Yarrowia lipolytica: one gene and its partner. The protein of the gene in region 2 purifies or fractionates together with the protein of the main gene of each other region. This does not show direct contact. Links are inferred from orthologs where the notes say so. Each region holds a gene or a part of one and is shown on either strand. Other genes may lie near its edges.

Evidence for each region.
Region 1: the proteins of YALI1_F13446g (region 2) and YALI1_C22857g purify together in Saccharomyces cerevisiae (affinity purification with mass spectrometry; 4 studies listed by BioGRID). This does not show direct contact. The link is inferred for Yarrowia lipolytica from reciprocal best matches to the Saccharomyces cerevisiae genes UTP7 and NOP1.

Annotation. Positions count from the first base shown.
Region 1 is NC_090772.1:2,284,258-2,288,430, forward strand, and holds YALI1_C22857g (rRNA methyltransferase NOP1), read right to left. Parts: upstream 1,467-4,173; coding exon 501-1,466; downstream 1-500. Other genes in the region: YALI1_C22876g (uncharacterized protein), read right to left, coding at 3,227-3,427, 3,493-3,510; YALI1_C22878g (uncharacterized protein), read left to right, coding at 3,592-3,745, 3,812-4,062.
Region 2 is NC_090775.1:1,341,345-1,347,167, forward strand, and holds YALI1_F13446g (uncharacterized protein), read right to left. Parts: upstream 3,292-5,823; coding exon 1,723-3,291; downstream 1-1,722. Other genes in the region: YALI1_F13395g (uncharacterized protein), read left to right, coding at 1-1,066; YALI1_F13452g (uncharacterized protein), read left to right, coding at 3,895-5,070; YALI1_F13476g (uncharacterized protein), read right to left, coding at 5,751-5,823. UniProt on the Saccharomyces cerevisiae protein: Involved in nucleolar processing of pre-18S ribosomal RNA.

The DNA.
Region 1 (4,173 bases), on a different chromosome or scaffold from region 2:
TTACCATATGTATTAAAAATTCAACGTTTTCTGTTGAACTAAAAAAAAACTACAATCAATACAAACATCGTCGTCCACATTAGCTTAGTTAAGTATTTAGTTGAAATACACTTGGTTATTGTATGTTCGTGATTACTAAGCGATGCAAGTGGGATTATCCAAGTTTCGTATTCAGTCTGTCCAGTGTCAATTGCCACAGTCGAGCGCAAATACTTTGAACATGCGTCCAGTACAAGTAATTGTACTTGTATTACTCATCAACTCATTTTCTATAATCCTCCAAAATGGCATGCATAATCTGCGTCCAATTGGAGTAGATCAACATTCGCACAATAGTGAGTCCGTGATCCGTGGTCTCGTGGTGCCCTGGCTCCCTGGTCCCACCCCATGTTCCCGTCGTACAAGTTCCTGTATCCATCCTACATGTCTCAATCAAAGTATACAATTATTATTTATATCCAATCTAGCACCCCATAGCCGCATCATCCTGTGGAAGACACTTATTTGTTAGCTCGAATGTACTTGCCAATAACAATGCAATGGTCTCGCTCGTAAGGCTCCAGGGTCAGCTGTTCCAGAGGCTTGATTCGCTCCTCTCGCAGCTTCTGAACCTCTCGGGCAAACACGGTCTCGGCCTCGACAGTGGAGTCGATACAGTTGGCCTTGATGGAGATGATGACTCCTCCCTGGTCCTTGAGGAACAGGTGTGCGTTCAGGGCGATAATTCGGGCCTGATCAGGCTGGGCAACATCGGCGAAGACAGCATCGACCATACCGACAAGCATTCGGTACTTCTGGGGGTGTCGAGCATCCTCAATGATGGGGATGACGTTAGGTCGCTTCTTGGCCATGCCTATCAGGTCTCGGCCGGATCTGTGGGAGAACTCAACGGCGTAGACGGTACCGGTGGGGCCCACGACATCGGCAACATGGGAAACGGAGGTTCCGGAAGCAGCACCAAGGTAAAGGACCTTGGATCCGGGGCCGATGAAGAGCTCATCGAGACCACCGAGAATACCTGCAGCCAGCTTGGATCGGAAGGGGTTCCACACTCGGTACTCGACCTTGGTGGCCTCGCCATCGGGGGTGGTGGCAGGAACATCGACCGAAACTCGCTTCTCGCCGTAGACAGACTCACCGGGGGTCAGGTTCTTGGTGACAAGGAGATCCTCCTTACCTCGGGCAATGAAGACACCGCCGTGTCGATGGGGCTCGACAATGACCTTGGCTCCGCCCTTGGCACCACCTCGAGCACCACCTCGACCACCACGGGCACCGCCTCGGGCACCACCTCGGGCACCACCTCGGCCGCCCCGAGCGCCTCCTCGTCCTCCTCGGTCTCCGCCGAATCCACCTCGTCCACCACCTCGTCCGCCAAACCCTCCTCGGCCACCTCGTCCACCACGGTCTCCGCCGCCGAATCCTCCTCGGCCTCCGCCTCGTCCACCTCTAGGAGTAAAGCCCATTATGTGTATGTGTTGTGTTTCAAAGTCCTTTTTGTGTGGTGCAATATGGGTTATTGCACTGGTTGTGTGGTGATGAATGTCAAGATGCACTAAGGAATATTTTTTTGGTAGAAGATCTTTTTAGGCTTTCAAAAATTTTTCTGGGTTTGGGTAGCGGTTAGAGTTTGCCCGTTTGTGCACAGAAACAGTGGGTCTGATTTGGCCACTTGGGTCTGGTTGGAAACGGGGGGACGGGGTTGAGAAGAGAAAAGGTGGTGAATGGTGAAAATTAGAGAACGCGGTAGTATTATGGTGTTTTTTTCGTTTTGATTGGCGTTCTGTGGAGCGTTTCGGAGACAGGTTAGGTTTGGCCTTTAGTTGCCAACTAGGTTAGTTGGGAGTGGGAGTTTTTAGAACAAATATGGTTAGCAAGTAGTTGGGACTTTTGTTTAATGTTTATTTAATGTTAAATGATTTAGGTATTAGTTGGTCCCTCCAAGCCACTCGAAATGGAGCAATTGGGCTGGAAGGGGGACTACTGGTTTTGCAATATCTCCATTGTCGGTGGGATTTGGTCACTGGAAATGCCCTATTCGTATTTCCTTATTTGATTTCACGCTCCAGTCACCATATATCTACCAGTGCTGGCTGTACCTCTGTTCAGACCCACCCAAATATTCGCAAAATATTTAACTACGCTTGAAAGTTTTTTTTTTTTTTTTTTTTTTTTTTTTTTTCACAAACGAACCAATGTGGTACTACGGCCACTAATATGGGCTTTGGGGTATCTTCAACAGACGCTAAAACCAAATGAGGGGCTAGACAGGATCAGAAGAGCTCATGATAGTTCCACGACTCCTAGTACCGTCATTCATAGATACACAATCGACCAAGGTCACGCACCAACTTTTTTTTTATTTTTTTATTATTATTATTCTACAAGTAGGGAACTTGCATCATGCACAGGTCCAATTTTTTTTGCTGATTGCGTCTCTCATGCTGCGATTAACCCTACCTTTGGCGCAGTGATTGGGATCTGAGTAGTGACAGAGTTTGTGGAGGGACGGTACGGTCCGGGGAGAGTGGATGAGATGGTTGACGCGATTACGAAGGGAGATTGTGTGTTGCTCTCACGGGTACCATATGGCTCTGTACTGAACATGTTTTTCAGAACGTCTCCAGGAGCCATGAGGGTGGTCTCTGACGACAGAGGTACAGAGTGAAATACTCCAGAGTGACAGTGGAGGGCCATCAGAGTGAGATACTCCAGAGTGATAACGAAGGGCCTTCAGAGTGAGATACTCCAGAGTGACAACGAAGGGCCTTCAGAGTGAGATACTCCAGAGCGCCGCTTTCAGGTGGTATGTATGTATGTACTGTACAGTATGTACGTGTACTCGTACCTGTAGCACGCTAGAGAAGAACCCGTGGAACCTACCAACCGTGGTCTCTCCGTGCTCTTACTCTCTCATGTGCCTTTTTCGAGACTGAAAGCTGCCAGATGCTCTATCCGGCGTGCTCGTTGAGGGGATATGAGTGACGAGGTTACAGAGACAAGGAGATCGCAATGGTACTGCTCGGACTAAGCCGCCGGGCTGAGCTGCCGCCAATCCAGGCAAGTGAAGCAGGACGGGGCAGGAAGACAAGACCAAGACGTCTTTGTTCAGAAAGAAGCAGACTCTCTCAGTCGGTTCTACATGAACTTGACTGGCTTGACCCGTACTTTAGCATGGATAACAGACATTGGACACATGCCAGTCTTTTCAGGACACAATTCTAGTCTACAAGTACAGTACAGTACACACCATACTTGCCTCCTGGTTACGTCGTACAATGCACGTTCGATCCGCACAGTTGACCACGATATTCTGACCACTTTCACCTGATCTCCAGATCAGTACAAGTAGTCCCAGAGATCTTTCAGGTCGTGAGTCGACAATGGTGATGTCTGGGTGGAGCTCGTTCAGGAGGTTCTTGTGTTTCTATTGTTACCATGACTCGGATACCTCGCGCGGCTTGAGCTCCACTCCAAGGCTCAGTTGAAGACAACAAGTAGATCAATCATTGAGAGAATGCTTCTAGTCTGTACATACAGTACGGGTAGCACATATGGTACTTACACCTTTCCAGATGATCGGTAAGAACAATGGAGATCTTCAATCTGTTCGGCTCTCAAGTACGACTCCGATCCACTCGGATACATATGTCTGTAGTTGATTTTGTGTTCTATCCCGCCTCCCAAAGAGTGGTCATCATCTTCCTGGGTTGGAACAGCCGCTTTTGCAAGTCATGTGGGAATCGTTGATGTATTTGTTACATAAGATCCATCTATGTGAGTGGTGAAATTGGAGAATTACTTCATTGAGAGTACACATGGTCGTTTTTCTATAAAGGAGGGCTTTTTCTGCTTCTCGTTCTGTCTGTTTCTGCTGTCTATCAAGTCCTGATTTGTCCAGGCAACTCTCAGCACTGTGGATTCGATGTTGGTCTTTTTTGGGCAGTGATAAATGTCTCAGTCCTTTGCCAAATCGCCTATGTAGAGAAATTCCAGCTACAGTACCCTGGATTCATCGTATTGACGGAGGACATATCAACAACCGTTGGCATAATTACTTGATGTGTAGCTAATAAACACTTGTTTGAGTCCAAAAATGGATTGAAATGTGCTCAAATACCACCCTCAAGACCACAAACCATTGTCTATCTTCCAGGAATCGCCATATTGATG
Region 2 (5,823 bases):
CATCCTTCTGCGTAACTACACTGCCGTCCCCCGAATGGTCGAGCTGCTGTCCGAGTCGCACAACCCCCACGTGCGGTACGGAACTGCCCTGGCCCTCGGTATTTCGTGTGCAGGCACAGGTCTCAAGGAGGCGGTGGAGGTGCTTGAGCCTCTGACTAAGGACCCCGCAGACTTTGTGCGACAGGGTGCTCTTGTGGCTCTCGCCATGATCCTCATCCAGCAGAATGAGAAGATGAGTCCTCGAGTCAAGACTGCCCGGGAGACCTTTGCTCATGCCATTGCCTCCAAGCACGAGGACCCCATGGTCAAGTTTGGTGCTGCTCTAGCTCAGGGTATCATTGATGCCGGAGGTCGAAATGTGACCATTGCTCTTGAGAACCCCCAGACTGGGTCTCTTAACATGAAGGCCATTGTCGGTCTGGTTGTCTTCTCGCAGTTCTGGTACTGGTTCCCCTACACCCACTTCCTGTCTCTGTCATTCAGCACCACTGCTGTCACCGGAGTCAACGAGGACCTCAAGATCCCCCAGTTTGACTTTGTCACCTCTCACAAGCCCTCCTACTTTGGCTACCCTCCTCCTGCCGAGGAGGTGGTTGACAAGGCTCCCGAAAAGGTTGCCACCGCCGTTCTCTCTACCACAGCTCGTGCCAAGGCTCGGGCCAAGAAGAACGAGAAGGATAAGGCTGACAAGATGGAAGTTGAGGAGAAGCCCGAGGAGCCCTCCTCCGCCGCTGCAGCATCTTCAAAGCCTGCCAAGGAGGCCAAGGTGGACGAGGACGCTGATAAGCGAATCCCCGGTCAGAAGAAGTGGCGTCTTGCCAACTTAACACGAGTGCTGCCTTCCCAGCTCAAGTATATTTCGTTTCCTGAGGAGAACCGGTTTGTGCCCATTCGAAAGTTGCATTCTGTTGGTGGAGTTGTGGTTCTGAGAGACCAGGAGAAGGGCAAGGGCGGCAAGAAGCCTCAGTTCATCAAGACGGTCCGACAGATCAACAATCCTTTTGATGATGAGGACGACGAGGCTCCTCTGCCCGAGCCTTTCAAGTACGTCGAGGAGACCGAGTAAGCATATTGGTAATGATTGTTGGAGAACCGAGCAAGGGCGTAGAGTGCCTGTAGATGGAGCGCACAAATGACTGGGCGTGTACACTGTTGTTGTGCAGTTGTAACCAATATATAAAGAACAGCTTGCAATGGAAGGTGCAATAGAACATGGAGTTGAAAACTAGACGACGAGAAAAGCGGGATTGAACGAAGTCCCTTCTATTGTAATGTGTTGCCACTGGTCCATGATATCGACGGCACTTCTCTTCAGCTAGATCCAACGTAAACATGACTACACTGGGCCAACTCATAAACGAGTCAGCAGCAAGACCCTAAGTATCAGCTGCCTGAAAAGGAGTGGCTCGGTGGCTCGTTATCTCATGTTCGATTCATATGAATCTGTTCGCACATACCGGTAAAAGTACAGACAGCATGTAATCAAGAGACTACTTTCGAAACGAGCCAGTCGCTGTTGGTCTTTCACTAGTAAAGAATATCTGAAGAGACGCAGTACAGTATTTACTCGTGTTCCCATGCCTGGGTACAAGAGATGGACCGATAAGCAGTAGCTCTTTTACTACATCTACGCGTACAGATTCACTTGGCCACTCCATCTGTCAGCAGCCGGTCTGCTATTACTTGCCTTGTACTTTTGCTCGTTCAATATGCATAAATTATCTATTGTCTCTGCTGAAATCTGGAGATAGCAGGAGACACGTACTCCTCCACATATCCCTCCTCCAGTCGTCGCTTTTTGTTCTCTCGCATTCGTCGCTCTCGCTCCTGAAGCTGCTCCAGTCGCATCTGCCGCTCGTCCACCACACCCTTCTTTTTCTTCTTTTGCAGCTCCTTGCTGACGGCCGTCTCCTCGTCGGCCAGATGGGGTTGCAGCTCGGGCATGTCGTCGTCCGACTCTTGTGCCCGCTTCTTGTTGGGCTCCGTGATCTCCTCCATCTGCTCTCGGGCCGTCTTTCGTCGCCGGTCCTTGTCCATGGCGATTCGTCCAATGTCTTCGGGATCCATGGTGATCATCTCGGGCTGGAGCTTCTGCAGCAGTGTTCGCACCTCCTCCTCTCGTCGCTGGTGTCGCGTCTGGTAAGGGTTGACTTCCAGAGCGTCAAAGTTGGCCTCTCCGGCTCCGGGAATGATGAGTGAAGAGAAGCCCTCGGAGTGGCCTACTCCAAGGATGTCTTCAAACGGCACAAACTGCGCGCTGCTCACCTTCCAGTCGGGATGCATGTTGTGTTGCATATAGGGCTGCTTGGGTCGAGGAGCAGATTGCACGTCCTTCCACACGGTGATGGTGTTTCCGTGGCCCACAGAAAGCAGGTTGGAGTCAGACCAGTTAACCGTCTGGGGCGCCACCTTGGTTCGGGGCAGACGCAGCACCTCCTTGTAGGTGTTTCTGATATCCCAGACCTTGACGGACGAGTCGGAGCCAGCCGTGGCCAGGTATCGTCCTGATCGGTCGACAGAAACGTCGTTCACGGGGCCTCGATGGGCCAGCATCTTGACCAGAGGCTCGTCCACGTTGGGCGACCACATGGTCACGGTTCCGTTGGAGTGGCCGAGATTCATGATGGCATTATAGGGGTTCTGGCACTGGGAGGTGGTGGGGCCCAGTCTGGTCTTGAAGGCAGCCACTTGCTTACCAATAGATACATCCTGGTAAAAGAGCATGCTGGTGAGACCCGACGATACGAGCAGGTAGTGGTAGGGCAGGAAATCGAGGTTGGTCATTTCGATCTGCTGCTTGAGTCTGTGTACTTCGGATCCCTGGTGGTCATAGATGAAGACATTCCTTTTCTGGGCCACAGCAAAGTATTGGTCGTTATGGAGCCACTGGACCGCACGAACAGTCTCGTTGAGGTTGAGTTCAAACTGTAGACGTCCCTCTCGCCAGTCAAACGCTGCCACATGGCCCTTTCGGCCTCCAATGAGCAGCTTTCGGCCTGTTCGGGTGAAGTTGATGTCATAGGGGCCAAAGTCGGGCAGCTTGAGGTCGTAGGCCTTTTTCTTGGTGGAAATATCAACCGACGCCTTGATCTCCTCCTGCGTCACCTTGTGGGTCGCCTCCATTTCGTTTTCGGCCTCTAGAAAGCCCTGTTCCTCCAACAGCAGCATTTCTGTCTTTTTCGCCGCCTCCTTGGCCTCCTGGGTGTGGCTCTCCACCCGCTTGAGATCCTTACGGAGCTCCTTGTTTCGGGCCGTCTTCCAGGCCGGCTTCTTCTTTGGTGCTTCAGACATGGTTGGTTGTCTATTGGCTGCTGTATATGGTGCTGGTCTGCTGGTGCTTGGTGATAATTCTGTGATGTTGGGGCCTAGGGGAAAAAAATATTTTAAACTTCACCACCTACATATTGCATTGCATGATTATATAATATGGAGTAGTGGCACCGGTGAGACCACAACCGCTTCTCTTCATCCAGAAATGTCGAATATGTTGGATTTTCCGGCAACAAACATAATGTCGCATGCTAACTACAAGTATGCAACTCTGTGTTTGTTTGCTATCCTCGTCGGTTGCATTGAACTCAGCATCGTCACCTACCTGCTCTGATTCTCTTTATGGTTGACCTGTGCGGCTCTCTAATGGCCGGGCTATGATAGAGAAAGGTACTAAGTGTGTATGGGGATGGTTGTCTGGAGGACACGTATGTATATATATTTATATACTTGCAGTGGCCAAACTAATTTTTAGAGCACAGTCGCCACATCCCCTCTGTAACGGCTCCAGCCCCCAGCTAGCTATATATAGGTCGCCATATCCCTGTCTTATCGGGTATCATCAACAGTGCCGAAAACAATGTTGCCTGCATAACTTCAAATTTTTTTTTTCGCCCAAAGTGCATGAAGGCAAAAAAATCGAACAGTGAATTTTCGCACAACACACAACATAGTACCAAACAGAGCACAGCTACCCGACAACTGACGCCGTCAGCAATGAACACAATTGACCAGCTGTTCGAGCAGGACTTTAACGACGACTGGAAGAAGGAATCGTCGCCCCATGGAGACCCCTCCAACAGTCCCGAGCATGGCAAGAGGGCTCTAGAGACGGAGCCGGCATCTCCAGCCAAAAAGGTCAAGCTGGAGAAGGATTCCGAGGACCAGGAAATGGCGCGCATGCTGGAGCGAGATCTTGCGTACAAGTCGGAGCCCGACGACGTGAATCTCGCCACTCCCAACTCTCTGACGCCCGGATCCGAATGCGATGATAAGGATCTCAAGAAGGAGATCAAACCCATAGAGATCATCGAGATCGAGGACGATGACGAGGAGAATATCCACACGGTCTCTGCAGAGACCAAGAGGGATATCAAAACCGAGATCAGCCCCGAACCCGTAAAGATCGAAGAAATCCATAGCCCCCCCGACTCGGGCTCTCTGCCTGAGTTTCTTGCATCGACTATGGATCTTCCACAACCCCCCTGCTACTCCTACAGCCACATTCCCTCTGTGTCCTCGTCTGCCGCCTCGTCTGTTAGTCCCTCTATGCCTCCCTCCACTCTTGCCTCCGCAACTGAGGAGCCCGAGTCCAAACAGAACATGGACGAGTACCTGGGCAAGATCTTCAACTTGTCTCCCGAAGACGACTTCTTTGCCACCGGAGGGTCAGACAACTCGGTCACAGACTCGTTTGCCTCCGTCAGAGAGCTCAAGCAGCAGCTCATGTCGCAACACACCCTTATGACGACATACACGTCGCTCAAAGACGTGTACCAGCGAGTGTGCAAGTCTCTTAAGGAGCGCAACGCCGAGAACCGTCGGCTGGCCAACCACATGAAGGTGCTGGTGGGAGTTATCGAACAGAACAACAAGAAGATTGCCGAAGTCGAAGACTCCAACAACAAGCTGCTGGCCCAGACCAAGACTCTCATCAACGAGAAGAAGGCGCTGCAGAACACCATCAAGGAGATGCACAAGTCCACCGACGGACTGTCCAAGATCGAGCTCTTGCGACTAACCATTAATCTCAGAGACGCCGAGATTGTGCGACTCAAGCACAAGTGCGGTGAGCTCTGATCGTTATTTATTTGCATTAAATTTATACCAAAAAAGACAACCATCAGTCAGTAGACAAAGTCTTGTAGTGTAATAGGAGAAAAAGTAAAACAAAAAAAATGAAATACCTCAGCTTGAGAGGCAAAAGATTACAGCACCCAGGATTCTCGTATGGTCTCCCACTACAATACTAACTAGGCTCTCTGGTGCTTGACTATGGCTGATCGGACGGGAAGCCGTATTTTCACCAGGATATGGCCGTAACTGGAAAGGTCGTACCCGGAATCGAACCGGGGTTACTGGAAATCGAAGTTTTCTTCAGAATCCAAGGTGATAACCGCTACACTATACAACCTGATGTTGAAAACTGGACTTTATGTCTACATGAGTGCAAAAATTCAAAAATTCAACGCCAATAACCCGGCTTATTAGGTATATAGCTGTAATGAATCATTAGCATAAAAAAAACCCGCTATCGTTGTAGGAGCGTTACAGACGACAAAGGGAGATATAAACGGTCATTGTTGATTGCCGCGGATACGCTATTCATTCTACACTAAACTAAACTCATCAATGGACTCGAAATAACTATCAATATTGAATTGGTTTACTATATCAAAATAGGGAAAGAACTACATTGTAGGCGGTCGAAAGCGTGAATGTGAAGCGGAAAAGAGAGAATAAATAGTTGGTAGAAATCACTACTCCTTGGTTGCGCCAATGGTGAACTTGTTGGGCTTGTCACAGGCGTACTTGCCGTTGAAAACGTAGACA